Drosophila melanogaster: one gene and its partners. The protein of the gene in region 3 purifies or fractionates together with the protein of the main gene of each other region. This does not show direct contact. Each region holds a gene or a part of one and is shown on either strand. Other genes may lie near its edges.

What was found.
Region 1: the proteins of Prp38 (region 3) and alphaCOP purify together in Drosophila melanogaster (affinity purification with mass spectrometry, with the first as the bait; one large-scale study listed by BioGRID). This does not show direct contact.
Region 2: the proteins of Prp38 (region 3) and Cdc5 purify together in Drosophila melanogaster (affinity purification with mass spectrometry, with the first as the bait; one large-scale study listed by BioGRID). This does not show direct contact.

The regions. Positions count from the first base shown.
Region 1 is NT_037436.4:1,638,042-1,649,144, reverse strand, and holds alphaCOP (coat protein (coatomer) alpha), read left to right. Parts: upstream 1-3,945; 5' UTR 3,946-3,975; exon of another isoform or gene 3,976-4,083; 5' UTR 4,084-4,187; coding exon 4,188-5,133; intron 5,134-5,189; coding exon 5,190-7,948; 3' UTR 7,949-8,079; downstream 8,080-11,103. Other genes in the region: Bro (brother), read right to left, coding at 599-1,240; CG17249 (uncharacterized protein), read left to right, coding at 1,745-3,163; CG13919 (uncharacterized protein), read right to left, coding at 3,208-3,603; Bgb (Big brother), read right to left, coding at 8,509-9,150; Mettl2 (methyltransferase like 2), read left to right, coding at 10,073-10,236, 10,291-11,103.
Region 2 is NT_037436.4:354,882-365,448, reverse strand, and holds Cdc5 (cell division cycle 5), read left to right. Parts: upstream 1-4,065; 5' UTR 4,066-4,320; coding exon 4,321-4,365; intron 4,366-4,434; coding exon 4,435-4,700; intron 4,701-4,759; coding exon 4,760-6,204; intron 6,205-6,263; coding exon 6,264-6,952; 3' UTR 6,953-7,049; coding exon of another isoform or gene 7,050-7,418; 3' UTR 7,419-7,598; downstream 7,599-10,567. Other genes in the region: CG1233 (uncharacterized protein), read right to left, coding at 203-484, 546-3,022, 3,108-3,696, 3,750-3,791; Roc1b (regulator of cullins 1b), read right to left, coding at 7,050-7,418; CG1231 (uncharacterized protein), read right to left, coding at 7,990-9,027; Ptpmeg (protein tyrosine phosphatase Meg), read right to left, coding at 9,922-10,011, 10,073-10,250, 10,325-10,567.
Region 3 is NT_033778.4:9,139,504-9,147,916, forward strand, and holds Prp38 (pre-mRNA processing factor 38), read left to right. Parts: upstream 1-4,452; 5' UTR 4,453-4,624; coding exon 4,625-5,617; 3' UTR 5,618-5,648; downstream 5,649-8,413. Other genes in the region: CG8788 (uncharacterized protein), read left to right, coding at 566-795, 1,935-1,947; CG44286 (uncharacterized protein), read left to right, coding at 2,211-2,348; shrb (shrub), read right to left, coding at 3,112-3,152, 3,214-3,497, 3,556-3,733, 4,117-4,294; CG30344 (uncharacterized protein), read left to right, coding at 6,084-6,288, 6,357-6,469, 7,143-7,293, 7,360-7,543, 7,612-7,798, 7,860-7,995, 8,047-8,373. UniProt on the Drosophila melanogaster protein: Required for pre-mRNA splicing.

The DNA of each region.
Region 1 (11,103 bases), on a different chromosome or scaffold from region 3:
CGGCGTTCCCTTCACCTATTCCATTTTCACTCGACGCCTTTCCGCTTTCAGTTCGGAAAGAGACTGACTCGGATTCGGATTCAGATTCACATTCAGAGCAGTTGCAAAGTTTATTTCGGCAGCATCCCAAACGGAATGGCGGAAAATCAATACGTGCTCACGGGACCGGTGCTCTGGCCGCATCGAGAGTCAAGAGAGGACAGCCGCAGCCACAGCCGCGACAGGCCCACCCCGGAGAGTGGAGAGCACGGCGGAATGGCGGAACGGCAGCTGGACCCACTTCACCATCCTCGGGCAGTCGGCTCGGGTGGTGGTTGTTCCGAAAGTGGCGCAAATGAGGCCAAAGACCCCGGCTAGCAACCCTTAAGGAGGCCCAGATAAACAATCATTAGGTGAACATGAGTGGCTTTCGCCAAATGAATGACACACAAAACTCGGAAACTCCTTGTGAAATGAGAGTTTTAGTAATTGAGAGCAGATATTACCATTAGTGTATTAAACATAATCTCAGTATTATAAGAGCACGATCAATGGGTTTCAGATATTTATTGTTGATTTACTTAGATGTTACTTAAAGCTATGAGGGTAATATATAGCACTACCATCCCATTGGTCCTCTAGGCAGACCAGGCCCACCTCTGTGATGGTGATCCTCGGGTGGAGTCTGGGGCGTGTGGTAGATTCTCCTGGACTCAGCCATGCGCTGGTTGTAGCTTTGAATCTGCTCCTGCAGCTGAGCATCCTCCTGCTGGGCTCGTTGTTCATCGAACTCCAGGCAGGCAGCGCCATCCAGTCGGTCCAGATCCACCCAGCCCCGGAAGCGGACGCACACCCCGTTCATGATGAAACTAGAACGCAAATGAACTTTGCCCCGCTCCCGCTCGAAATCGCAATCCTGCTCCTGGGCGTACGGATTGTGGTTGGCGTTGAAGTAGAGCTGCAGATTAGTTCCTGAAGCTACCATCGATATCTCCGCATAGCCCTTGCGGCAGTCGTTGACAAACCGCATCCTGCGCTCCTCCATTGCACGTTCCCGGTATCCTGTGTAGCGAACCTCGCTCTCCCTACTCAATCGGCGGAAGAGCTCGTCGCTATCGAACTTGGACCTCTGGTCAGGCACCACGCGGGGCATCTTGAAGATGAATCTGGGCTTGGGCTGCTCGTACATAGCCATGGCTTCGTATGGCGGGATCATTCCATTCATGGCGGCCGCGTCTCCGAGATTCTGGTGATGATGCATGTCTAATGTTATAACTGTATTCTCCGAAAGATATAGTTGTACTGATCAATGTTAAAATTGACCGCCTTATTTAAACAAAAAAAAAAAGTTGTAGAACAGGTAATCGGGAGCGATTGGGCTACCTAACGAATCCCCTAATTGTCGCCTGGTAATCAAGGATGGAAACCATCTGGACACAATAAGGATCAGGTATAGCACTTATAAGTATCCTATTTGAGGTTTGTTTTATAATCCGTAGGGTTTTTACAGCTCCGAATATTATACTTTGAGGATTGCAGGTATAATGCTATCATAAATAAAACGAACGAATTGAACGCACTATATAATTTTAAGTTTAAATTCGAAATTACGTTTTAGCGGTAATTTTAACAGTGTTGGTTAGCACAGCGCTTAAGCAAAGGGAGTTGCCAACCATGGCAGCCCAAGCAGGTGACAACTCTAGAGTCCGGGCACATTAAACAGCTGTTGTGTATTGTATTGTTTAACTTTAGCAATTTTATAAACATGTCGCTTGTTGCTTATGCTGCCAGTTCTGATGAAGATTCGGAGAACGAAGAGGAAAATTCTGTACCACAAGTGGAAGTAATAAAACCCCAAGCCAAGCCGAGCACACCAAGTGAAGCGTATCTAGCTCGGGAATCAACCAGTGGTCACATTAGTGATGAAGATGACGACTACGTTCCCCAGGAAGTGTCCCTTCAGGAGTTAAAGCCGCCCAACGGAAGACTGCTATTAGCCTTACCCAAACCAAAAGTCACTGCTCCCGCTAAGGATCTGGAAAATGAGGATGTGGACAACCAGGTTACTTCCGCCTTTGCCAACCTGCCCATGCCACGAACAGCAGCGAAAGGAAAAGCCATTGTAGAGGAGAAAGACGATGAGTTTCTGCACAAAAAGGCGCTGCCCGTAGAAATAGAGAAACCTCCACCGCCGCCAGTCAAGGGAAAAGTAAAAATCAGCATTCCTTCACTAAGAGATTTCTCAGATGTAGACCAGGAGAAAGCTGACAGGGCTAAGAACAAAGTTGATAAGCCCAATGTACCCAAGGGATCGGGATTGTTGAGTCTGCTGCCCCAAGCAAAGTCGGAGCGCAACTTCTCCAAGAACTCTTCATCCGCGGTAGCCTACCCATCAGCCAGCACTACTCTTGCTTCCAGTCTAAGCAATAATCCTGCGCAGCCTCGAGCAGCACCAGCTTTTGTTCCCGATACAGTTAAGCAGCGACGAGCTGCACACAACACCGAAGGCGTAGATGGCCCTAAGGCCGGGCACAAGAAGAATCCTGAGACAAAAGACGCTTTGAAGTCAACAAAATCCAAACCTATAAGTAAACCCACTTCGCTGGTAAATGCCAGCGATAGTGAAGATGATGACGAAGATGGCACTGGAGACTTTTTCTCCCTGAATTCCGAGCAAAAGCTGCCTGAGGTGAGCAGCAACGAGATTAGCGCTCTAGTGGCCAAGCGAGCGGCCAAGATGGTGGAAGCCAGTAGCAAGTACCTAGAGGAGGTAGCCGAGAAGGAAGCAGCCGAAGCAGAAGCCGCCCGACTTCAGGAAGAGCAGTCTCAGATTGCACAAAAGCGCTACCATGAGCAACAGTTAAACGCAGAGGCCATGGACGCATTGGTGGGCAAAAATGCCAAGCGCCGGCGGAAGGAGGCCAAGGAGATGCAGGTGATCGACATATCTGGGTCTCAGGTGCTACCTGATCGCGAGGAATGGATGCGATCGGCTCTGGCTTCGTCCACCACCTTCCAACCGACCGGCGTGCTGACGGACGAGGAGCCGGTGGCAGGGACTCGGCGCAAGCACCAGATCACCTACCTGGCGCACAAGGCGAAGGCCAACGAAGCCGAGCTGCAGGCCATGTGGTCGGCCAACCGGCAGACCCGTCGGGCCACCCAAAGCAAATACGGCTTTTGAGTTTTCACTTTATGTACACCTAATCCTACAATATATGCTTAATATTACTGTATCCAGCCCTCTCGTTTTCCCAGCCTGCTGCCAACATAGAAGATGGCGGTGCTCAGCAGCAGGATGACCGGGGCAACGGTCACGTATATGGGAATCTGTTGCGGGTACTCCAGCGTTAGGCAGATCATCACTTGGGAGGCGATGGTCAGCAGGACGCCGGCAATGTTCCATTTGTAGAGGAACAGGAGATCCGTCAGGCAGGTTAGGTTCCGCCACTTGCGGATAAATTTAATGATCACGTAGATGATAATGATCACATCGAAGAACCAGAGTGGCGTAAAGGTGACGAACCAATTCCAGGTGGTGCGTGGGTCCAGGCGGAGACACAGAAGAATCAGGAAGACCAGGACGATAAACCAAGTGAAGAGCGCCCGGTGTGCCAGTGTCATCTTTGTCACTTATTTATATATTTTCCATGGTATTACAGAAAATAAACAAAGCGAAGTTACCGTGAATAGAATGCACTTTGTCCAGTGCTGTAAAACTACGATTACAGTGGTCACTAAAAGTGTTCGTAGAAATACATTTACCAACTCAATTTTCGAATATTATTGACGAAGATTAAATATATTCAAAAATATCACGTAAAATCTGTATATTTAACTATATAAAGAAGACTGGAGAGCATGATAATTCATTCATATTCATGTGTGTACTTTTGAAAACTTATGGTTCCCAGTGTATGCACATCTGCCAACGCTGGCAACACTGACTGGGTCGCGAAGAAGAAGATAATTGACGTGTCACAATTTCGACGATTGGTTGGTGTTTTTCATAAAATTAATTGTTGGCAGTATATTACGTGTTACTTGTAGCGTATCAATAAAATGGGTTTGTTCTAACACCCACCTCTTGATGTTTTGATACAGGCAAGTGCTCGAACCAGCAAAAAAAGGGCGCTTGACGGATAAGCCGACACCTAGAAGTGCATCCAATTTGAGACACCTACAGGCAGAACAGAAAAAGTGCCACCATGCTGACCAACTTCGAGTCGAAGTCGGCGAGGGTGAAGGGCCTCTCCTTCCACCCTAAGCGCCCCTGGATCCTGGTCAGCTTGCACAGCGGCGTCATCCAGCTGTGGGACTACCGGATGCACACGCTCCTCGAGAAGTTCGACGAGCACGACGGACCGGTGCGAGGCGTGGCCTTCCACCAGCAGATGCCGCTCTTCGTCTCTGGCGGCGACGACTACAAGATCAAGGTGTGGAACTACAAGCAACGCCGATGCATTTTTACCCTCCTGGCCCATTTGGACTATGTGCGCACGGTGGCTTTCCACCACGAATACCCATGGATTCTGAGCGCCTCCGACGATCAGACCATACGCATCTGGAACTGGCAGTCGCGCAACTGCATCTGCGTGCTGACGGGCCACAACCACTATGTGATGTGCGCCCAGTTCCATCCCACGGAGGATCAGATCGTTTCTGCTTCACTCGATCAGACGGTGCGCGTGTGGGACATTTCGGGGCTGCGTAAGAAGAACGTGGCTCCCGGGCCCGGTGGGCTTGATGACCACCTAAAGGGTCATCCGGGTGCCACTGATCTGTTTGGCCAAGCAGATGCCGTGGTCAAGCACGTGCTCGAGGGCCACGACCGTGGCGTCAACTGGGCCAGTTTCCATCCCACCCTGCCGCTGATTGTCTCCGGTGCCGATGATCGCCTTGTGAAGTTGTGGCGCATGAACGAGTACAAGGCTTGGGAGGTCGACACCTGTCGCGGTCACTACAACAACGTGTCCAGCGTGTTGTTCCATCCCAGGCAAGACCTGATTCTCTCCAACGGCGAAGATCGCAGTATTCGCGTCTGGGACATGACCAAGCGCCAGTGCCTCTTTACATTCCGGCGGGACAACGAGCGCTTCTGGATACTTACAGCGCATCCGACCCTGAATCTGTTTGCAGCTGGCCACGATGGAGGTTAGTTGATTTCTTTTAGGAATAGGAATTTTTTGTAATGATACATATTCTTTCAGGTATGGTGGTCTTTAAACTGGAGCGAGAGCGTCCTGCATATGCTGTCCACGGGAATATTCTCTACTACGTCAAGGAACGTTTCCTTCGCAAACTGGACTTTACCACCACTAAGGACACTGTGGTTATGCAGCTTCGACCAGGCAAGTCGCCGGTGTACAGCATGTCGTACAACCCAGCACTGAACGCCGTGCTAATCTGCACGCGCACCAACAACCTGGAGAACAGCACCTACGATCTTTGCCAAATCCCCAAGGACACCGAGAGCCAAAGTGAGTCGGACAGCAAGCGAAGCTCTGGAATCACGGCCATCTGGGTGGCACGCAATCGGTTTGCAGTGCTTGATCGCAACCAGCAGTTGGTGATCAAGAACTTCAAGAATGAGGTGACCAAGAAGTTGCCAACTTTCTGCGAGGAGATCTTCTATGCCGGTACGGGAATGCTGCTCATTCGGGACCCTGAGTTTGTCACACTGTACGAAGTTCAGCGCCTAGTCTCCGTTGGAAGCATTAAACTGGCCAAGTGCCGCTACGTGGTGTGGTCTCCGGACATGTCCTTGGTCGCTCTACTCTGCAAGCACTCGGTTACAATCTGCGACCGAAGACTTCAGTACTTGTGCACCGTGCAGGAGAACTGCCGCGTGAAGTCTGGCGCCTGGGACGAGTCTGGAGTGTTTATCTACACCACTAGCAACCACATTAAGTACGCCATTACAAACGGGGACCACGGCATCATCCGTACGCTGGACCTACCCATTTATCTGACACGCGTCAAGGGCAACCAAGTGTTCTGCTTGGACCGGGAGTGCCGCACCCGTGTGCTCCACATCGATCCTACGGAGTACAAGTTTAAGCTTGCCCTGATTCAACGCAAGTACGATGAAGTACTGCATATGGTGAGAAATGCCCGCCTAGTGGGTCAGAGCATCATTGCTTACCTGCAGCAAAAGGGTTATCCAGAGGTGGCACTGCATTTTGTCAAGGATGAGAAAACCCGATTTGGACTCGCTCTGGAGTGCGGTAACATCGAAATTGCTCTCGAAGCAGCCAAGGCTCTCGATGACAAGGATTGCTGGGATCGCCTGGGACAGAGTGCGCTGCTCCAAGGAAACCACCAGGTGGTAGAGATGTGCTACCAGCGGACCAAGAACTTTGACAAGCTTAGCTTCCTCTACCTGATCACCGGCAACTTGGAGAAGCTCAAGAAGATGAACAAGATTGCCGAGATTCGCAAGGATGTTTCCGCCCAGTACCAGGGTGCCCTCCTTCTCGGTGACGTCAAGGAGCGGGTAAACATCCTCAAAAACTGCGGACAACTTTCGTTAGCTTATCTCACAGCCGCTACTCATGGATTCGATGAGCTCACTGAGTCCCTGGGCGAATCGATAACCTCGCAGGGTAACAGCCTTCCCGAGGTGAATCCCAATGCCCAGTTGTTGCAGCCACCAGTGCCCATCCAGCAGCTTGAAACCAATTGGCCGTTGCTGTCCGTGTCCAAGGGCTTCTTTGAAGGCGCCATGGTCACCAGGGCTGGCTCCAGTGCCACTGCCCGACAGGCGCTGAACATCAACGCCGATGCTGCACTGTTGGACGAGCATAATGGTGGTGGAGATGGTTGGGGAGCGGATGCCGACTTGGGACTAGATGAAGACGGAGATGACGAGATGCACGACGCGCTGAGCAACGATGGCGATGGTGGTGCGGGTGGAGAGGAGGGTGCCGGCTGGGATGTGGGCGATGATGACCTGGTTGTGCCCGAGGAACTGGCCTCCAAGATCAAGGCCTCAGCCCTCGACAGCAACTACTATGCGGCTCCCAACAAAGGCTTGTCTCCTGCCCAACAATGGGCCAACAACTCGCCTCTGGTCCTGGACCATGTCAAGGCCGGATCATTCGAAACCGCCTTCCGTTTACTGCACGATCAGCTGGGAGTGGTCAATTTCCAGCCATTCAAGACACTCTTCCTGCAGAACTACGCCTGCTCTCGAACGAGCTACACGGCCAATCCGAATCTGCAATCCCTAAGTGGTTACCCACTTCGCAACTACTCCGAGACAAACATCAAGCTGCAGCGTCCTGCGGTTGGCATTAAACTGAATGATTTGGTGGCACGCCTGCAAGCTGGGTACCAACTGACAACTTCTGGAAAGTTCTCCGAGGCAGTAGAGAAGTTCCATTCCATCTTGATTAGCATCCCACTGCTGGTAGTGGACACGAAGCTAGATGCGGCGGAGGCCCAGCAACTCTTAAGGATCTGCGCTGAGTATATCGTTGGCCTGAAGATGGAGACTGTGCGCAAGGGCATGCCCAAGTCGACGCTTGAGGAGCAAAAGCGTCTGTGCGAGATGGCCGCCTACTTCACGCACTGCAAGCTTCAGCCCGTGCACCAAATCCTCACCCTGCGTACCGCCCTCAATATGTTCTTCAAGCTGAAGAACTACAAGACGGCCGCCTCATTTGCCCGTCGTCTCCTGGAACTGGCGCCACGACCGGACGTTGCCCAGCAGGTGCGCAAGATCCTGCAGGCCTGCGAGGTAAATCCCGTGGACGAGCATCAGCTGCAGTACGAGGAGTTTAATCCGTTCACAATCTGCGGCATCAGCTGGAAGCCACTGTATAGGGGTAAACCCGAAGTGACCTGTCCCTTCTGCTCCTCCTCTTTCGACCCTCAGTTCAAGGGCAATCTCTGCACAGTTTGCGAAGTGAGCCAGATCGGCAAGGATAGCATTGGCCTGCGCATTTCAAACCTGCAATTCCGCTAGGACGGACTAGCTTGTCGCTTTTAATATAAATGTTTCCAACACGCCGAGCGAGACCCCATAGTTTAGTTTTACACGATCCTTGCTTATTATGTATAAAGTTCAGTATCTGTATATTATAATGCTATAAAATCAAACCAAACGACTTGTTTTCTTGATCGATACCTAGCCTCGGTAGGCAATTCCCAGTGAAGAGTCTTAGTCACTCTGCTTAAAGGTGGAAATTCCAAAATGAACAATGCCATATAGATTAGTAATTATGTATTTTAGTTAAAGATACGACACTAATTTCACACTAAGTTGTAAGTATAATACCATAAAAGCATACGTAAAGTAAGCATTACATCTAACACTAATCTAGGAGCATAATTATTCGAGCGTGTCTAACGTAATCGTATTGAAATCTCTCAAGTGAAAGCCCTCTTAAGGGGTTCGGAGCATTCTCAGTTGTCCATGAAATATTGAGTATTCGCGAATTGAGTCTCTAACTGCTGGTGATGCGTCTGCTGCTGCTGGGGAGGCAGCTGCGGATGGGACGGCCCAGGAGCCGTCCACAGGTCCAACTAACGACGCCACATGCTGGCGCCAACGCCAATGCCTCCGGAGGCCACGCCCCGTCGCACTGCCTCCATCTCGTCCTGTCGATTGTCACGGTAGGCGCGCTTAGTGTCCTCGAACTCACGCAGTCGCTGGTTGTAGCGATCGATCTGATCCCGCAGAATGGCGTCCTCGTGCATGGCGCGCCGCTCGTCATACTCCAGACAGCCAACTCCGTCCAGTCGTTCCAGGTCTATCCATCCACGGAACCGGACACAAACCCCGTTCATGATAAAGTAGGACTTGATGTGCACCTTGCCGTGCTCCTTGTCAAAGTCGCACTCCTTGTCGTGCAGGTACGGGTTCTGGTTGGCGTTGAACACCAGCTGCAGATTGGTGCCCGATGCCACGAAGCTGGCCTCCGTGTGTCCTTCGCGACATCCGTTCATGAAGCGCACCTGCCGCTCCTCGATGCTTCGTTCCCGATAGCCCGTGTACCGAACCTCGCTCTCCCGACTGAGCCTCCGGAAAAGTTCGTCGCTCTCGAACTTGGACTTCTGGTCCGGGACCACACGAGGCATCTTGAAGATGAAGCGCGGCTTTGGCTGTTCATACAATCCGATGGTGTCGTAGGGTATCATATTGGCAAGTGCCGCCTCGTTCATCATTTTAACGGGTTTTCGCGATTCGTCCGCTCGATGGAACGCTGAATAGGGTATGTTTCTATGGGTGCTTCTGCAGACCGCTGCGTGCACACAATAATCCCTGGAACTCGGTACCCTGGATGGGTTTCTTTTGGTCGCTCCTTCGACGAGCCTTCTGCGTATACACAATAAGCTCTTGTATCTTAGCACTCTGAATGCTAATTGTTTAAATTTCTCGCCTCCGTCGAAAAAAACAACGCACAATACAACAAAAAGGTTGGTTTGCGGTTTTGATATACCAACTGACGCGGCGTTGCCACTGGGAAATAGTGGAGAAGTCAAAACGTAGCGATGGAAGCAAAAGCACGGCACGAGCACCAAAAACTTATTCTTATTATTCATTCGAATTATGGATATAAGTCGCAAACATAACAATACATATTCATTTTACTTACCTACGGGTTTCATATTTAATTTACCAGTTTTTATATCATGCATTTTAACCATGAAACGATATCCGCCAAGGTATTCAGTCACGAGTACATCCCTAAAATAAACTATTGATGGTCTGGCAGCACGATTACATTTGCCCGCAATTTTCAACTTTATTTTTCCCTTTTCTCTAAGGGGTTTCGGTAAAAACTCGATGCGTACTCAACACGCCACAAACTAAACACACATAGAACACATATTTCACAATTGCTTTTGGAAAAAAGGGCGATAACGGGTACATCCGATTTCCCGCTCGGAAGAGAGCCGCTTCGAAAATACTAACGGTTTAACTTTATTGGATCGGTGCACGGCCACACTGGCGGCGTGTTTACCAAAATATATAATTTGGATCGCACAAACAGGTGATATATACCGTCATTCCTGTCCGATATGAGTGACAACCCCGCCGCGGAGAACGAAAAGCGACCGCAGTTCGGAACCCGCCTGCTCACGGATGCTGACGACGTCTTCAAGCACAATGCTTGGTAAATATGGGTGGCAAATCCTCCGGAGATTGGCCAGCAAAAGTTGGGAACACACTCGCCAGCGTAAAAAACCGTCGGGAGCGGGCAGCCGGGTGCTCACCGACGCGCGAGAGGTGTTCGAGTTTAACGCCTGGTACTTATCTGCCGTTCAGTACTCATGAAAATCCCTCTAAACATGGATTCACAGGGACCACGTGCAATGGGATGAAGAGCAGGAACTGGCCGCGAAGGCGGCTGTAGCCAAGAATTCGACCTCAAAGATGGAAGCGGAGCAGAAGGAGCGATTTCAGACAGACGCCCCCAAGTTTTGGGATTCCTTCTACGGCATTCACGACAACCGCTTCTTCAAGGATCGCCACTGGCTGTTTACGGAGTTCCCCGAACTAGCTCCTCTGGCGGCGGATTCGGCGGTACTGCAACCACGTAGCATTTTCGAACTGGGCTGTGGAGTAGGAAACACAATTTTACCCCTTCTACAGTACAGCTCTGAACCGCAGCTCAAGGTTTTCGGATGTGACTTCTCCGCCCGGGCCATTGAAATCCTGCGAAGCCAACGGCAGTTCGACGAGAAGCGCTGCGAGGTGTTTGTCATGGATGCCACGCTGGATCATTGGCAGGTGCCCTTCGAGGAAAACTCACAGGACATTATTGTGATGATTTTTGTGCTGTCCGCAATTGAGCCAAAGAAAATGCAGCGGGTATTGGACAATTGCTATCGCTACCTGCGTCCCGGTGGCTTGCTCCTCTTCCGCGACTACGGACGATACGACCTGGCACAGCTGCGCTTCAAGAGCGGCAAGTGTATGGAGGACAACTTCTACGTGCGAGGCGACGGCACCATGGTGTACTTCTTCACGGAGGAAGAACTGCGGGGTATGATGACTCAAGCGGGGCTGCAGGAGGAGCAGCTCATTGTGGACCGAAGACTGCAAGTTAATCGCTGTCGCGGCTTGAAAATGTACCGCGTGTGGATTCAGACAAAGTTCAGGAAACCGCTTTA
Region 2 (10,567 bases), on a different chromosome or scaffold from region 3:
AAGATCCAATCCATCAACATTATCATCCTTCCAAAGGAATCAAGCATCTGAATTGGAGTTTTCCCCCTTACTGTGACTTCCTGCGTACTTAACACTAATAACATTGGTACAGTTTTGGTATAAAACTCGATTAAAACTAAGCGGCACTTTGTTCTCGCGCAATCTATCTTCTAAAATATGTACAGAAGGGAGGAACTCGTCCCTAGGAAGCCTGCAGGATATTCTCTTGAGCCTTGATCACCTCCGTAGCCACTTTTGTACTGGAATGAGCGAGCACCAAATTGCTCTCCACCTTGATCTGTGATTGTTTCTCCACCGGAACATCACCCTGGGATGACGCTAAAGTTTGATTGTGATTTCCGGCGTCATGCTTGGCCTGGTGAACCTGCAACAGACCTTGATTGATGCTGGTGAAGTTGCACTGGTTGCATTTGTAAATGATTGTGGACAGCTCCTGTTCAGGATGGCGGGTCTGAAGGTGTATCTGTCCACGGAGAGCAAGACTATTAGAAACTTGACTAATTATTAATAGAAATCTATCGAACCCGAAAGGCGGTGCTCTGGATGGCTCGGAAGTCGCAGTGCGGGCAGGAGTAGCGTTTACTCTCCTTGTGCGTGGCTAGGTGGCGGCGATAGGCATTGTGATCGCTGGTCTCATGATCACAGGTGTCGCAGCGGAAACGTTTATGCTCCTGATGGCTCCGAAGATGAAGTCTCAGGCTGCTCTTAGAACCAAAACGGCGCTGGCACTCGGGGCATTCCAGCTGTTCGTTTCGCTCTTTGCATAGGTGCTCCCTTAGGGTTTTCTTCTGCTTGAAGGCGGCGCCGCAATCTTCGCAGCGATGCATTACAACGGGATTACCTTCTGGTCCCACGGAAATCTGCTCGTTCGACTGCTTTCCCATGCCCAATCCTTGAGTGCGATGCAAGCGACGGTGATTCTTCAATTGCTTGGTGTTCTTAAATCCCTTGCCACACTGCTCGCACTTATAGTTTCGCTCCTCCGAGTGGATCTTAGCGTGGGTGTTCACGAGACGCGAATAGATGGGCGTCTTAAAGCTGCACAGCTGGCAGGAGTACAGCTCCATGTCGATTTGGTGGGTCCGCCAGAGATGCGTATGCAGACAGTTCCAATTGCTAAAGTTGCTGGACTTGCATTCCGGGCACACAACGGGTTGGTTTGAGCTGAGGGATCCATTGTGGCATCTGCCGTGATACTCCAAAGTTACGGGTGATTTGAAACGGAACATACAGCCCTCCACAAGGCACTTGCCTCCCTCTGGCACTTGATTTGGGCCCAGAGAGAGTTTTCTTTTGGAAGCTGCTCCACCAGAGTGCTTCGCTCCGTAGGGACGGCCCCTGACCGAGGTGCCGCCTCCAAGAAGCGGTGGGTCCACGGCGGCGGGAAGAAGATTATTGGCCACATAGATGCGGGCTGGCTTTTCGATAGCAGCATTCATCTCGGCTGCCAAGGGAACCAGCGGCGGAACCGGCAAACTACCTAAGGCTGCACTTTGAGCAACAGAGGCTGTCCCTTCCGAAGATGTTACCGGTACTAGAGGTGGCACTGTCCCTCGTCCTCCCGCTGCAGTTCCTTCTTCTGCGTTTTGTGTGTCCTCCGGTGGTGCGGCGTACAAATGCGAAAAATCCTTGACTAGCAGATCCACTGCATTGTGAGACAAACCATCGAGTGGGGGAGCATTAGCCACTTCACTGGGTGTAGGCAGAACGAGTCCAGCTTCTGGTACAGCATCTTCCATCCACGGCCAGCACTCCAGATCCTCAGGTAGGTCATAGCCATCCTCGCTAGGCCAACTTTCACTAATAGACGGCTGAAATTCGCCAAGCGTTTCCGTTGGTCCCTTGAGCTGTGAAGTTACTTCCATTGGCTGCTGCTGCACGGGCGGAAGCTCCATCATGGTCATTGCCATCGGTTCTAGATTGGGCACGATTAAGTGCTCCACCTCGGTGCGATTCATTAGGTTTAGTTCGTCCACAGTGCGCAGGTGCAAGGTGCCCCTCTGCGGTGCTTTCAAAATGTCCACGTTTTTGATGAAGATCTTTTGCTTGGTCGTAATGGGAGCCGTAGGTGGCATGTAGTGCTCCAGCTGGACAGGTTGTGGTTCCATCATTGTCAGTGGATCATTCAGAGGAGGTGGCGGAGTTGCCTCTTCCGAAACAAAATCCACACCAAAATCAAGGTCCAAAGCACTAAAACGTGTGTTTTCCACATGGGCGGCAGGTGCTCCATTGCCATTCAGCACAGAATCAAAGGGAAATGCCTCGGAACACATCTGTGCGAGCGGGGCGAGGCTGGGCTCGAATCCTGGAAGCTGACACGTGGGCGTTAGTAGTGTCTCCGACTGGAAGACATCACCATCTGCTCCTCCTACAACCAGGCCACTTTGTCCTGGCTCTGCTGCCGACGGCATGGTGCTATTGAATCCCAGACCGGGCAGAGCAGATGGCAAAACCATCGGTTCCTTGAGGATGTCTACATTGCGGATATAAATCTTCGGCTGGCGCGGCTTCTCCGGCTCCCCGACAACATCAGGAACTTCAGGGAGACTATTGTCCGTATTGACCGAATGGTTCTGCAGCTGGAAGTCGAACGGCAGCAAAGCGGTCTCCCTGAGCACGTCCACGCTCTTGATGGAGATCTTCTGGATGGGCTTTGGCGGCGGAGCTGGTAAATTCGCAGCAGGTGCTGTTGGCATTGTCTGTTCGGTCGGCGATGCACCTACAGCCACACCTTCCAGCAGATCAAGAATGTTAGCGGCGGACCCGCTATCCGGCATTAAGGGCGGGAAATCCGGGAGTGGCTCCCTTAGGCAATCTACGCTTTTTATAAAGATGCGGCTCTTGGGTCGATTTTGGCTCTGCGACATCTGAGTCTGCTTTTTAGTTTGTGCTTCAGTGACTTTTCTGCCCATAAGCGCAAGTGTCTCACTGTCCTCCATTTGATGGTCCAAGCTGAGGTGCAAGCTGAGCGCATCGCTGGTGTAGAAAATGTTTGAGCAGCCTGTCGAAAAACACGTGAAAAGTGAATGCAAATATGATGAAGCATTCCAGCAGAGCACTCATATTGAAGGCGCACTATGCCTCACCTGGACACTGTTTCCTGTGCTGCTCCATATAGCAGTTGCCCTGACTAAGGTGTTGCTGAAGACGCATCTGGCAGAGGCTTAAGAATGGACAATTAGGACAGCGCAGGATAAGAGGCGGACCCTCCTGAATGATTGCCTTGCCCTCCACGCTGGCGCAGCTGGAATTTCGAGTTGGTGGCGTTGGCGTGGCATTCAGGCGATCCTTGGCTGCCGCTTCCGCAAGTTCCGACTTGATTAGTTCCTCCGACTTAATTTCCGCTGTACGCCTGCGGAAGGCATTGCGGTAGCTTTTCTCTGGTTGCTGCAAGTCGGTGGTGTGGATCTGGACAAAGGGAATGCCCTGATTGGGCTGGGACTCCACCGCCACCTCAGTAGGTGATCGATTCCCGCCATCGGCCAGCCACAAAGTAGTTCCAGAAGGGGTGGTGTTTGCAGCAGACGCGGAGGCAGATCCGGATCCCGATCCGATGACCAGCTCTTCGTCAAAGAATCCCCCGAAGTTGGAGTCCTGCTCCAAGGAGTGAACCGGCGTGGAAAGCGACAGGTCTTGGTGCGGATGTGTAGGATGCGGATGCGACAACGGGAGCAGCTGGAAGACACACGGCGTGTTTTTCTGGCCAGAGGTACTCGCTGGTTGCTCACCTGGTTGCCGCCGTAATATCCCGGATAGGTCGCATCGCTCATCGTGGGTGCCTTCCTTGGTCCAGTTGATTCCCGGTGCCGGATTCCGGTTGCCGGTTGCCGGTTTTCCGCTTCCTGGGCACACGCCTCTTAATTCCGCATCACAAAAATTGGCATTACGCAGAAAAAAAACTTTTCATCACAAAATAACTGATAGCGAACAGCTGTTGCTGTACACAGTGTGGCAGCGGTGTTTGCACAACTATATTCGGTCACACTGTCGCGTTATGTTATGTCGTGTGTATAGGCCCTTTATTAAATTGAATAATTTAAGTTACCAATATTAAGACCGAAGTTAAATCAAACGGTATACGAAGACTAAATACAATATAATGAAATTTTTTTGTACTAAGCTAGAATAGTTTAACTAGAGGTTCTATAAATATACCAAAACGTGCTGGAGATATCGCTGTTATCGAAGACTAACCATCGCTAGCGGCTACTGCAAAAAAAAGAGCGGAGTTTCGTGGACTCGAGTGAAAATTGTGAAAATCCATTGTATACGCGACAGAAAGCAACATAAGGCCCCAGAATGCCGCGAATAATGATCAAGGGCGGCGTGTGGCGCAACACGGAGGTAATTATCCCAATAGTCTATCGGTTAACCACACATGGCTTACATTGGCTACCGATTTCATTTTCCCAGGATGAAATCCTCAAAGCTGCGGTTATGAAATATGGCAAGAACCAGTGGAGTCGAATTGCCTCCCTCCTGCACAGAAAGTCCGCCAAGCAGTGCAAGGCCAGGTGGTACGAGTGGCTGGATCCCAGCATCAAGAAGACCGAGTGGTCCCGTGAGGAGGACGAGAAACTGCTCCACTTGGCCAAGCTGATGCCGACGCAGTGGCGCACCATAGCCCCGATCATCGGACGGACGGCAGCCCAGTGCCTGGAGCGCTATGAGTACTTGCTGTGAGTCCAACGCACAACATACTAAGTAGAAAATTTCTGATCCCTTTCCTGCCGTACAGAGACCAAGCCCAACGCAAAGAGGATGGCGAGGACACGATGGATGATCCTCGCAAGTTGAAGCCCGGAGAGATTGACCCCAATCCAGAGACCAAGCCGGCGCGGCCCGATCCCAAGGACATGGACGAGGACGAGCTGGAAATGCTGTCCGAGGCACGCGCCCGCTTGGCCAACACGCAAGGCAAGAAAGCCAAGCGCAAGGCTCGCGAAAAGCAACTGGAGGAAGCCCGCCGCCTGGCCACTCTCCAAAAGCGGCGCGAACTTCGTGCCGCCGGAATTGGCAGCGGAAATCGCAAGCGGATCAAGGGAATAGACTACAACGCCGAGATTCCCTTCGAAAAGCGACCTGCCCACGGATTCTACGACACTTCCGAGGAACACTTGCAGAAAAATGAACCCGACTTCAACAAGATGCGGCAGCAGGACCTAGATGGAGAACTCCGCTCAGAGAAGGAGGAACGCGAACGCAAGCGGGACAAGCAGAAGCTGAAGCAGCGCAAAGAGAATGAAGTGCCCACCGCAATGCTGCAAAACATGGAGCCCGAGCGGAAGCGCTCCAAACTAGTCCTGCCTACGCCGCAGATTTCCGACATGGAACTACAGCAGGTAGTCAAGCTGGGACGCGCCAGTGAGATGGCAAAGGAAATTGCCGGTGAGAGCGGCATAGAGACGACGGATGCTTTGCTAGCCGACTACTCCATTACACCCCAGGTAGCAGCCACTCCACGTACTCCGGCTCCGTACACCGATCGCATCATGCAGGAGGCCCAAAACATGATGGCCCTCACCCACACAGAGACGCCACTCAAAGGTGGCCTGAACACACCGCTGCACGAGTCAGACTTCTCCGGCGTGCTGCCCAAGGCGGCCTCCATCGCCACGCCTAACACAGTGATTGCCACGCCGTTTAGAACCCAACGCGAGGGCGGAGCAGCCACTCCCGGCGGATTCCAAACGCCCTCCTCCGGAGCCCTAGTTCCCGTAAAGGGGGCAGGAGGGGCTACGGGTGTCGTCAATACACCTGCCTACGTGAGGGACAAGCTAAGCATCAATCCTGAGGAGAGTATGGGCGTCACCGAGACCCCAGCACATTACAAAAACTACCAAAAGCAACTAAAGTCTACACTGCGTGACGGTCTCTCCACGCTGCCCGCTCCACGGAATGACTATGAGATCGTGGTGCCTGAGCAGGAGGAAAGCGAACGCATTGAGACCAACTCAGAACCCGCCGTCGAGGATCAGGCGGATGTCGACGCCAGGTTATTGGCTGAACAAGAGGCGCGCCGAAAGCGAGAGCTAGAGAAGCGCTCCCAGGTTATTCAGCGTAGTCTCCCGCGACCAACTGAAGTGAACACCAAGATTCTGCGACCGCAGTCCGAGAAACAGAACCTTACGGAACAGCAGCAGGCCGAAGAGCTGATTAAACACGAAATGATCACCATGCAGCGTGAGTAAACCCAACGTTTCCATTTTAACCCAAGTAACTAACGTCCTTTTTCTTGGCAGTGTACGACTCGGTCAAGGATCCCGTGCCTGGTCAATCGCAGCACAAGTTGGAACAGCTACAAAGCTACTTTAAGGCCAATCCCTACGAGGACATCTCGCAGCAAGAGTTGGCGAAGGCCAAGCAAATGCTCACCGAGGAAATGGAGGTGGTGAAGGAGCGCATGGCGCATGGCGAACTGCCCCTAGACGTTTATGCCCAGGTGTGGCAGGAGTGCCTCGGCCAGGTTCTTTACCTACCCTCCCAACATCGCTACACACGCGCCAATTTGGCCAGCAAGAAGGATCGATTAGAGTCTGCCGAGAAACGGCTGGAGACAAATCGCCGCCACATGGCCAAGGAAGCCAAGCGCTGCGGCAAGATCGAGAAGAAGCTGAAGATTCTCACCGGCGGCTACCAGGCGCGCGCCCAGGTGCTGATTAAGCAGCTTCAGGACACGTACGGCCAGATTGAGCAGAACTCTGTCTCACTCTCGACATTCCGCTTTTTGGGCGAACAGGAGGCCATCGCTGTGCCGCGACGCCTGGAATCGCTGCAAGAGGACGTGCGTCGCCAGATGGACCGCGAGAAGGAGCTGCAGCAAAAGTACGCTAGCTTAGTGGAGGAGCGCGATTCGCTTTACTCTCAAATCGAACATATAACTGGCGTCAGGCCCACGGCCCAGCAACTCCTGCCCGACCAGGAAGCGTAAACCTTCTTTTGGAACCCAAGTCCGTTCTTATTTAATTACAGTAATTACATGCCAGCAAACAGCTATCACCACCTAATATCCCGATCCATATTCCTCGCTAGCGGCCGTACTTCTGGTAGACCCACTCCTTGTTGTCCAGCGGACAGACCAGGCGCGTTTTCAACCAGCGCGCGATGCAGTGGTAATGGAATGCGTGGTTGCACTCGCCCCAAGCCACAGTGCACTCGTCTTGGTTTGCATTCGGGTCCGCCTGGCACTCGATGCACAGGTTCATGATGTGGTTACGGCAGATGGCACAGTTGTCCACTGCTACGTCCCATCCCCACATGGCGTGCGCAACCCATTTCTTCACCACAAAGCGCTCCGTCCTGGCCTGGACAGCTCCTCCACTACAGGATGGCTCTTCGTCATTGAAGTCCATGTCGTGGAAGTCCTCCGTCTCCTCAACCTCTATCTCCTCGGCCATGGTGTGAAATTACGAATTTTTTTTCTTTTTCAAAATACAACACTTATTTTCGTATTCGAATTTGATTTGAACTATTTTAAATTCCATTTGTTTTTGGCCTGACAGTTAATAAAAAAAAGTTGACCACTACCGATTTATCTACGAAATAACAACGGCGAATAATTTTAAAAATAAATGCAGAAAAGAAATTAAACCTTGTGATCATATTAAGTGGGGCTCAAGAAAGCTTATCATCGGTAAACCACTTTTGAATCCCTAAATTTAGACAATTTTTTTAAACAAGAAAGAATGTTATAGTCGAATTTCTCGACTATCAGATACCAGATAGTGGGAGTGAGTTTGAGAGAGAAATTTCAAAATTATCTTGGCATATCGATAGAAATTTGTATTCCTTTTAACGAGTTTAATATACCCCTCTATGAGTAATGGGTATGATAACAAATTACGGTTTTTATAATGCCTTTCTTAAACAAAATAGCTGTTTCCCAAACTCGAATGTCATTATTATTAAGGAAGCTTTACTGCTAACGGGAAGTCATGGCTTAGGCTTAGGGTATATCAAATAAATTCTTTACACGTTCTTCTCAGTTTGGGAAAGGTTTTTTACCCTCTTCAGGTGCTTCTTGCCAATAAAGTGCTGTTGCAAGGTGCTCTCATGGTTCATCATCATGTTGCAGGGCTGGCAGTAGTACTGACCCATTGGAGTGCGATACAAGGCCAGTTCCGCGGCATCTAATTTCTCCGTTTCAGGGATCGGCGCCTCCGAATGATTCTGATCCTGCCGGGAGGTCCTCCAGTTCTTTTGGTGCCTGGCTCCAGCCAAGTGGGCCTGCATTTGTGCAGCAGAGGTGACCACTATTTTACACAGGTGGCAGGTGCGCTCATTATCGTCAGACTTGATCACGCTGTTCTCTGATATTAATACGTCCGTAGGGGAATCTTTGGTTAAACTTTCCGGCTTGCGGAACAGACTCCCTATGCCGTAACGACCAACAGATGTATCACAGTGCCTGGCTCCGGAGGGCTTCGCGACGCCCTGCTCCACACGCTTGTGCTTCCGACCTAAATAGTGCTGGCGGGCGTGCATAGAGGAGGTAAGGTCCAGATTGCACAGCTCGCAGTGAAAGGCGTTTGGGCCGGTTGGTCCTTGCTTGGCCAGCCGCTTCACTGGAGGCGCCTCCAGACCCACCTCCGTGTAGTTCTTGGCCAGCCAGGCGCTGATGTGTCGGTCGTGGGCCTTCGATTCGTAGTGATCCCGGGCGCGCTTCCTCGAGGTCATCTGCACCTTACACAGCTGACAGTTCAGTGGTCCAATAAGCCTGTTCAACTCCTCCGGATAGCTCTCGTCGCGTCCGGGAAACAAGGCCAAATCGCCGTTAGCCTTCAACGAATCCTCCTCCATGCACTTAGCCTTCCGTTTCATGTTCGTCCTGATTGACCCATTATCTTTCTTGTCCGTTCGCTTACCAGGTGCCACCAACCTGTTACTGGTCGAAATTTCTGCGTCTGGATGAGATTCGATACAGGCACTATCCACACGAATTTTGGGGGTCTCTCCCGGTGCAAGGTGCGGAATGTGGAAACCTCTAAGGGATCCGGGGCAACTCATCTCGCGACTAAAATCTATAAGCCAATGCAAAGCTAAAGATGGTCCAAGGGATCAGACGCATGCGTCAAACACTCCCAACCTTCAAATAACTTTCGTTAGATTCTTATATTCGCTCGATAATATTTGTTATGCTATTTAAAAAGTCGTATAATAATAGTAATTCAATAAACAATCAAGTCTACTTATTTTCCAAAAGTTCATAAATTTTCGTACAAGTAAACGTGTAACGATATTTTATAGTTTTTAAATATTTCATCTCTAGGCAAAGTCAATTTTTTGGCGCCAACCTCGGCAGATATTTTGGAAAAATGTACGAAATTAATTATTAACACACAAGGCTCCCCACTGAAGAAATAAAAGACTCGTTTTTTAATTACACATTTTATTGGATTTTTGTTCAGCATAAATACATTTATGAATTGATTTGGTGCTAAAATACTAACAGTTTTATCTTCTCATGTCTATCAGTGTATAAGGTTCGCATTCTCGGTTGCTCTTTGCGTCTTGTTATCGACCGCCAATTATGGGTGGCGCGTAGCGTTGGATGGGTGTAAATAAATTGCCATTTGTTTCGCTTTGTATACTTCGATTAGGTAGTTGGTTCACGTCGTTAACCATTCCGTGGTGGCTTTGTAAATTTAGAATCGTTCCTTGCAGCACTTTCGGCAACTGATGGAGAGATAATGTATAAGTGTGTATTTGGGGATACCTTATGAACGGAGTTGATAATACAATATACGGGTTTTGTAATTGTAATGATATACAATCAGTTTTAAACATATGTCTACGGGATCTAAAAATTAAATAGATTTAGACGAAGCTTCGTATAGAATAAGAAAAACTTGGGGCGTGTTAGCGGAAGATTGTTGATTGCGTAGCTAGATGGTCCTGCCCCTAATCCTCGTCGTCGTTAATGGCCGCACTGCTGCGTGAGATCTTCATGTAGGCGGCGCAGATGCACTCGCACACGAAGCGGTACTGGCTCTGGAATTTAAGATCACGATTATAGGAAACCCACACGTAAATCCTATCCAGCAGTACTCACCACATTCTGCACCATGCAGGCACGCTGATCGCGCATGGTGCGCACAATGTCCAACGGATACACCGGTTCTCGAGCCTCCATCAAAGCCAGCGCAGTGTCCATCAGTATGAGCACTCCAGTACGTCCTATTCCCGCCGAGCAGTGGACAATCACAGGTGGATTGGCTGCACTGATGCACCTGAAGATTAATAAGATGAAGTACTCGATTGATGATATCCATCACCCATTCGAATTCATAGCCCTTGTACTCACTGATGCACGCTTGTCGAGACCGGCGTCTCGTCCTCAGGAGTGGCTCCGTTGCTGGCCGCACACTTGCGCTCGCGCATCAGTCCGCCGTTCTCGTCGGCATCCGCATCGGCATCCATCAGGCGCACCTGCTTCAGACTCTCCTCGATCTCCTGAAGGAGCGTGCGGTTTCGAGCGGCACGCACCCGCTCCGTAAACTCTAGGAAAAGATTAGGATCGGAGGGCACACAGTGATCTGGCCAGGCC
Region 3 (8,413 bases):
GCTTAGCCAGTGAACTGTTCTGAACTGCTAATTGATAATATGTATGCGGCAACACCTACATATGTACATACGTATGTGTATACTTACATATTTAGATTCGAGTTGAAACTGCGTCGCATTTGCCACTTAGTTGCCGTTTTCCCAAAGCCTGTTTGATCAGCCTACTCTTCACACATACTCCCCTCCGGATGAAGCACAAAGAGCCTCCATCGGTGAAAAAAAAAAACAAGTATGAAGCTCCAAGATGGCCACTCCACCTGGAGCAGATACGATAATAATAGATGTATACCAAGAGCTTATCAATAGCCCGACTTGTTTTCCAACCGCACCTTAAATAAATTCAATTTGGATCGTACGACGGCCGGAGGAGAAGATCCCCGCACTTGGAAACAGCTAGAGGGGCACGAGCCCACCGAAAAAAACAAGATTTCAGACAAAATAAATAAATTATGGTGTCTTCGCATATATATTTTTAGCTTTATCAATTTCGGCCGTTTTTGCGGAGGCTCGACGCACATACACTCAGACGGCCAATCGGAACCAGATTTGTAGCGAGGGTCGCACCATGGATAGCGTCAAGTCGTTCTTCGCCGGCTCCACCAAGGATGGCAGCCTGTCCAGCAACAGGCAGGCCAATGTGCCCGGCTCCTCAGTCGCCGGCCGCTGGGGTCGCAGCTGGAGCACCAGCTCCCAGCACACGGATCCCGAGCCAGGAGCCACCAGCTCGGTCTCTAGCAAGAGCGCCAATCCGTGCGATGCGAAGCGCAAGGACAGTGACAACTACTTCTACATCATGTGAGTTGGTTGGAGTAAACCTCTTTTAAGGGCCAGATTAGATAGGAGGAATTTGAGTTGACTGACATCTTTATTTGTGTTCCCGTTGGGCAGTTCCAAATTGGAAATAAGAATAGATACCACTACTCAGAAAATAAATAGTTAAGCACTAATTAGAATGATTCATAGTAGATTAGCTTGTTAATCAAAAGATCTTTGTATTCAAGGGATGAATGAATAAGAAATTGTAATCAAGATAAGATTGAAATGATCCTTTTAATCTTTTATATCATTGAAGCAGGTTTCCCACATAGTTACGTAGCCTCAGAGAGTAACTTACTTGTATCTTACTTATATACATATACATATATGGAAAGTATAAAGTATATATAGTGGATAATCTGGTCAAATAGCTCGATCAATGACCCCAATGTTGTTATATAAACCAGTCTAGTAGCACACAGGGTACCTTTTCCCTTCGTATTCCCTAGTTTCTCCATTTCTATCACGTTTTTGGAGCAGTTCCTATGTAGTTTATGGCCCTGTTTACTTGGCACAGGGAATATTTTGATTATCTTGCAACCGCCTTATCAGACGTAGTAGCCCATGAGTAAATGGCTTCGGAGGGTGCAGTAATTTCCGACCAGATAGCCGTTCAATGCCTGCAATTTTCGAATGAACAGGGGTTAAGCTCGATCAGTGGGATTAATTAAATGCCAGAGGAGCGTAGCCGCCGTTCTCTAGCCGATGTTCTGGCAAACCAGTTTGTGCGGTCATAGATTCATTCGTTGGCTCACCTTGAACGTAGATCGCTCGGCCAGGTTGGCTCTGAGCTCTGAGCGAGGTGGGCGATATTGATATTTTGGGGGGATCTGGTCTGGAACTGCATAACCAGTTAAGAATCAGTTGCGAATTAACTGGCGCTGCGAACAGCTGAGTAAGCCACGATCGGGGAATGTTAGTGTCCGGGGATAGCCCCGAAAATAACCAATCTGGGCGTGGGACTTGCCAGGTGGTGTGTACATAAGTGCGTGATTCAGTGGAGCAGCTGGGCAGTTACCATTGGGCATTCTCTCAGCACGCTGTAAGATTCGCGATCGCGTTAGCAATTGCCATACCACAATTGATGCAATAACAACTCTCGTTTCATTTCGTTTAAGGTGGCGCGCTTGAAGATTAACAGATGATTGTGGATCGGAGCACCAGTCGGATGAGTCCTGATCCGTGTCTAAAGTGACCTGCAGCTATATATATATATCTGATACCCTATTAGGAACATCGGAGCGTTGTCACTGGCAACAACCGCCTTTTGCCTTGTTGCACCATCTCCATTGGACGAGTCCGGTGTTTAGTGATACTAGTTATTTATTTACGATTTTACACAAGACATTCATTGTACGTGCTGTCCGATCGATCCCTTCTCCTCCTCCTTCTATATGGACGCCATCACAATCCTGGGCTTGATCTACTGGCTGATCTGCATGATTGCGTTCGGACCACTGATGTTCTTCGTCTGCGTTTACCTGCCAGAGGTTCCGGTGCGATATGTAAAGGGTCTGAGGCAGCAGACCTGAGCGCCTCCATCCTACTTGACTACCCCCAACTAGCAAAGTCCGTAGTAGATAGATTGCCCAAGCCATAGTTAAAATCACATTGATGTACACCCGATCGATTTGCAATAAAAGTATACACAAGAATGCATTCAACTTAAAGGTGTATCGTGATTAAAATAGTGGTATTGTGGGTTTTTCGTAAGATAAGATGTTCTCTTATCCGCGCGTTGATAAGACAAAGAAAGATACATTTGGGGGGTTTTATTCAGAACCTGCTTGTAAGGAACAAGTGTATATAAATAAAATATTTTAGTTGATGTTTTTTTGCGCCTCTCGCGGCTACTGAGTTACCTGCAGTCGAGAGGCTTCATGTTTTTATTTTCGTTTGAATCGCTCGATACAAAGCTAAGACTGCGGAAAGATGAGTGCCACAAAACATATTTGGGTTTTTATCAAAAAGCTACATTTCTTTGTTGGAATATTAGATCTGCATACACCTGATGGCCAATCAGCGTTATTCAAAATAAACAAATCAAATATGAAACTACGTTGATACCTACTTTTGCTCATGTGAGGCCTGACTATGCTTATTTCGTTTATTTTAAAATCACATTCCTAGTTTATGTACCATTTGTTGAATTGCCAAAGGAATTAATGCCTTGTATTCTCTCCCTCGCTTCGAACTAAAATTTTGCTTAATTAACAGCAGTATTGATTATTAAATTAAACAAAAACGATAGGGTGTATCTTCAGAACAGTAAGGAGATTTCAATAGCTCTCTGATTTAGTTGGACCAGGATAAAAGCTGCTTCATGTCTGGATCATCTGTAACGCAAGTTAATCGTTAATTACCAAACGTAGATCCACATGCAGTGACTGAACTCACCATCATCCTCCACGGCAGTCGTGGTTGTCGCCTTTTTCTTTTCTTTGGCCTTCTCGGGCAAATCTTCTGTGGGTGCTTCTGGCAATGTGGGCGTCGGCTCGGGTATGCCAATGATTTCCTTATCAAAGTTCTCCTGCTCCAGCTCGTCGAGTTCCCGCTCGAGATCCTCATCATCCAGATCGGCGCCGAATGCCACTGGGTTCGAAATGGCATCGGAAATCTCGCGGGCCACGTCCTGCTGCTCGGCAATGTCATCCATCATGTCGTGCACCTTGTCCACGTCCCTGCATAAAAGTGAAAGTTAGTTCCTGGTTGATACAATGGCACAAATCCATGACTCACATATTCTGATGGGCTCTCTTGAGGGCATCCGCGGCATTCTTCATCGTGGTCAAGACGGCAGTGTTTGTGTTGGCGCTCTCCAGAGCCTCGCGCTGCATTTCGATTGTGGACAGGGTGCCATCGATCTGCTGGAGTTGCTTCTCCAGCCGCTTCTTTTTCTTGAGTGCTTGCAGGGCCACTGAAAATGTGAGAAGTGGAGGAATTAGAAGGTTTCGAGGACTGGCTTATGTATATATCCGAAATATGATTTGGCCAATTCGCAATGCGTGCTTTGAAATTACTCTACTGCATGGCTTGAGTTTGTTTTGGGTATTAAAAGTAATGTTTATATTACGTTCTGAGCGATTTGCGGACACGTCCAGGCATCGAATGGTATGCGGGTGAAAAGGCAAAGAGATACATATTGTTTATTGAGTTTTCTATTTGCTGGCAGTATGGGATACTGATTAACTGGGAGCAGGCCTCGCGGCCGCAACAAAAACAAAGCAATGAGTCATTTCCCCTTGGCCCATTTGAGTGACCAACTAGGAAGCCAAGGACCTCGGCGCACTCCTCTCATACCTCTTTTGTTTTTAGACGCATTCTTGCGGGCTATATTCAGTTCGTCCTCGATCTTGGCCTCCAGGAACTCCTGCTTTTTGATAAGCATGTTCTCCGTCTCGCGCAGCTTCTGTATCGCCTCGCCGGTGGTGGGGGCCACTTCCTTCTTGCCGCCGAACATCTTCCCGAAGAAACTCATCCTGGCTGATCTGTTTTTTCACCCGAATTTAGCGAACAAGTGAGTTTTTTTCTGCTATTGCGTTTCTTGGTTGTCTGGGAGCTGTTGTTCGTATGCGTCACCCGATACCGATTGCCGTCCCCTATCGTTATCGCCTTTGTGTATGCGCTTGGCGGAGTGGCATATTTCTCCCTTACGCAGCTGGCCACTCTGGTTAGCAAACGCCGAAAAATAAATAAATATATTCGGTGCATTTTCACATTTTGCACTGCTGCCAATAGATACCCGAATTTCTGGATTGAAAAGTCCTATTTGAGTTACGATTGACAAGGAACAAGGGTTCAACTGAAAATGGCCAACCGCACGGTGAAGGAGGCCAAAAACGTGCACGGCACCAATCCGCAGTACCTCATCGAGAAGATCATCCGTTCGAGGATATACGACTCTAAGTACTGGAAGGAGCAATGCTTTGCTCTCACTGCGGAGCTTCTGGTGGACAAGGCAATGGAGCTGCGATTCGTCGGAGGCGTCTACGGCGGCAACATCAAGCCCACCCAGTTCCTCTGCCTCACACTCAAGATGCTGCAGATTCAGCCGGAAAAGGACATCGTAGTGGAGTTTATCAAGAACGAGGAGTTCAAGTACGTTCGAGCATTGGGAGCCTTCTATCTACGGCTCACAGGAGCTGCCCTGGACTGCTACAAGTACCTGGAGCCGTTGTACATAGACAATCGAAAGCTGCGCCGCCAGAATCGCGCCGGCCAGTTCGAGATTGTCTACATGGATGAGTACATTGACGAACTGCTGCGCAACGACCGTGTCTGCGACATTATACTGCCCCGCATCCAGAAGCGCTCCATTCTCGAGGAAAACAACGAAATCGAGCCCAAGGTGTCAGTGCTGGATGAGGACTTGGACGACGAACTGCCCAGCGACGAGGAGAAGGCAGACGAGACCAACCGGCCTAAGGAGAATTCGACAGCAGTGAGACGACCACGGAGAGTTCGCTCCAAGTCAAGGTCCCGCAGTCGGGAGCGCGAGCGAAGATCTGGGCAGGGCAACAGCGCCCGTTCCCGGGATTACTACGACGAACTGGAAGACTACGACCGCCAGCGAAATAGGGTGCGCAATCGGGACACCCACAACGAGGACTATGACCGTCGGCAAAACAATGGACGCCACGATCGCGAACGAGAGCGCCAAGATCGCGACAGTATCAGGGAGCGCGAGAGGGACGGCGACAGAGATCGCCGGGATAGGGAACGAGAGCGAGAACGTGACCGTGGCCGTCACGACCAGCGGGAACGGGACTCGCGAGGAGAGCGTGACCGACGACGCTACTAAAATTATAAATAAATTGAATTAATTAACCAGTAAAAAGTGTCAGAAAATTTAAACCACAAACTCTCAATTCGCCGCAAGTTGGCATCCCTAGCACTAAGAATCGAAAATCGAAATCAAAACAATAACACAGAAGAAGAAGAAGTCAATCAGCTGTTGCTGCTTGCATTTAGAAAGTTTCGAATAGAGTAACGTTAACTGCGGGAGAATCCAGCCAGCTGTACTTGTGAAAATAATACACGTACCAGGGATTTAAGCAACAATAAATCCACGTTAATCAGCAGTAAAGCAGCTGAAGCTTTAGTATCTGAAAACTCTCCGTCGCGTTTGGAAGACTTTCAGGGAACTGCGCAGCGTTCTGGTGAATGAATTGTAAATTCCATTATCTCCGGTAGACTGGTGTAAGCCAGACGCATCCACGAGTTCCGTTCTCGATAGCGAGCAAGTAGGAACGGAACGGAACGGCAGTATGCCTCGCTCTGATACGGAGGCTTTGGTGGCCGATGTGGAGACTGGCGAAGATTCGGCACCACGCATACTGGACGCATCATCTGCGGCCAGCAGTGAGCAGGTGGACCCGCCTCCGGTACCGCCGCCTCATGACTACAGCAGCTATCGCTGGTTCATCCTGGAGCCCGCAGTTTTTTTAATCTTCTTCGCCAGAAATTTAATTGGTATAATGGCTATAGGGCAGTAAAACCGATTGGATTGCATCATTGAATTAACTTTGTGTGCGTTTTAGGGGCGGTTTATCAGAACCAAATTCTCTACCAAACCTGCATCACCATCGAGAAATTCAATGCCACGCAATGTGAACCGCTGCTGGGCATTGATCGCGGATCGGACGCGGATAAAGTAAGTATTTAATTTGACCCTTATAGTATACACATCATGTACAATTTGATATCTGTACTTTGTGTAGTTTCTGTTCTCGTTGCCTGGTTTTTATCTCTGTGCAAATTATTTTTGCTGCTTTGCTGGGCGTTTCGTGTTGTGATTTTATGGCGATGAGGAAAATGGCAATTTTAAACAAATTTATCCAGTAACTGTAAACAAAAACTGAAGTTTAAGTTACAAAAACTGCTGAACAATTTTAAAACCACAATTAATGTATCACAATATTAACTTGTTTTACGAGTAATTGCTACTATTATGACCTTTGCTGTATAGAACAATGTATTTCGCATTTGGCTCGCCGATATTCTTCCAAGACGTGACCTACTTAGTATATCTTACTATATCAGCATCCGACGTGACAAAGTAAAATCAAATTAGCAAATCGTCTCAACCTAATGCAAAACTGCCATTGTTTGGAGGCTAGAGATAAGGTAATTAGAACGCCAGTCGAGGCTTATCAACGGCCGGAATAGAAGTAAGCAAAATCCTTTGTTACTGCATTTCGAAGCAGTATCGAAGTATTTACTAGGAAAGCGTTAAAATTATAATTATACGTACGAGATATGGCACATTGACTCATCCACAGTTGTACAGTTGTGCAGTTTACTAAAGTGAACTTCTGTTTTTTCAGGAAGTCGAGGTGATAGTACAGACGTATTCTGCAAATATTATGATGACAACCTCTCTGCTAGAGAGCATTATTCCTGCCTTCGCGAGTCTGTTCCTGGGTCCCTGGTCCGACAAGTTCGGAAGGCGGCCAATCCTGCTGACAACTTTTACGGGTATATAATCATCAGTCAGGACATCTTAATTGCATCTTGTACAAATGACTCTTATTGTATTTAAAGGCTACCTCACTGGCGCACTCATACTGATAGTAATCACTTACATAACGAGGTCCACGAATATAAGTCCATGGTGGTTCCTCCTTTCCTCGGTTCCTTCCGTCGTAAGCGGCGGAACTTGCGCCTTGATTACTGGAATCTATTGCTACATATCCGATGTGGCCAAGGAGCGAAAGAAGGCTCTGAGGTGAGTATGGGTAGTCTTGATTTATTAATCCAAAGAATGCCATTTCATTTTGATATATTATTTGAAAGAATGGTCCTCAATGAAGCCTCCCTCTGTGCTGGCATAATGGTGGGCAATGTGGCCAGCGGTTATATCTATGCTGCCACAAATGCTCTGGTGTTGTTTTCCATTGCTGGTAGCCTGATGATGTTTGCCTTGATGTACGTGCTTCTGTTTGTACCTGAAAGCCTAAATCCAGGTGACATTCACACCGGAGTAAGTAATTTCTATAGCTAAGAAGAAACGAATATCTCAACACTCCTTCCCTCATTTTTAGTCGCGAGTCCGTGAGTTCTTCCGTTTCGATTTGGTCACGGACCTGATTCGCACCTGCTTTAAGAGGCGCCCCAACTTTGATCGCACAATCATCTGGCTTACAATGATTGCCCTTACGATAGCCATTTTCGACATGGGTAACATAATTCAAACTTAAGATTATATGAGTTAATTTATAATGATTTCAGAGGGAGAGAGCACTGTAAATTACATGTTCGTGCAGGATAAATTCAACTGGACCATTAAGGACTTCAGTCTATTCAACGCATCCCGCATCGTGATCCAGATTGTGGGCAGCATCGTTGGCATGTTGGTATTGCGCCGCGTTCTAAAGATGTCTATCGTAACCATGGCAATGCTCTCCCTGGCTTGCTGTGTTCTGGAGAGCACGGTTCGAGCCACAGCAGTCTACTGGCAAGAGCTGTATCTGGGCATGACGCTGGGTATGATGCGTGGCGTCATGGGACCTATGTGCCGCGCGATTCTCTCGCACGTTGCACCCGCGACTGAAGTTGGTACGTACCCAAAGTGTTTAGCCTGCAAATACCATTAACT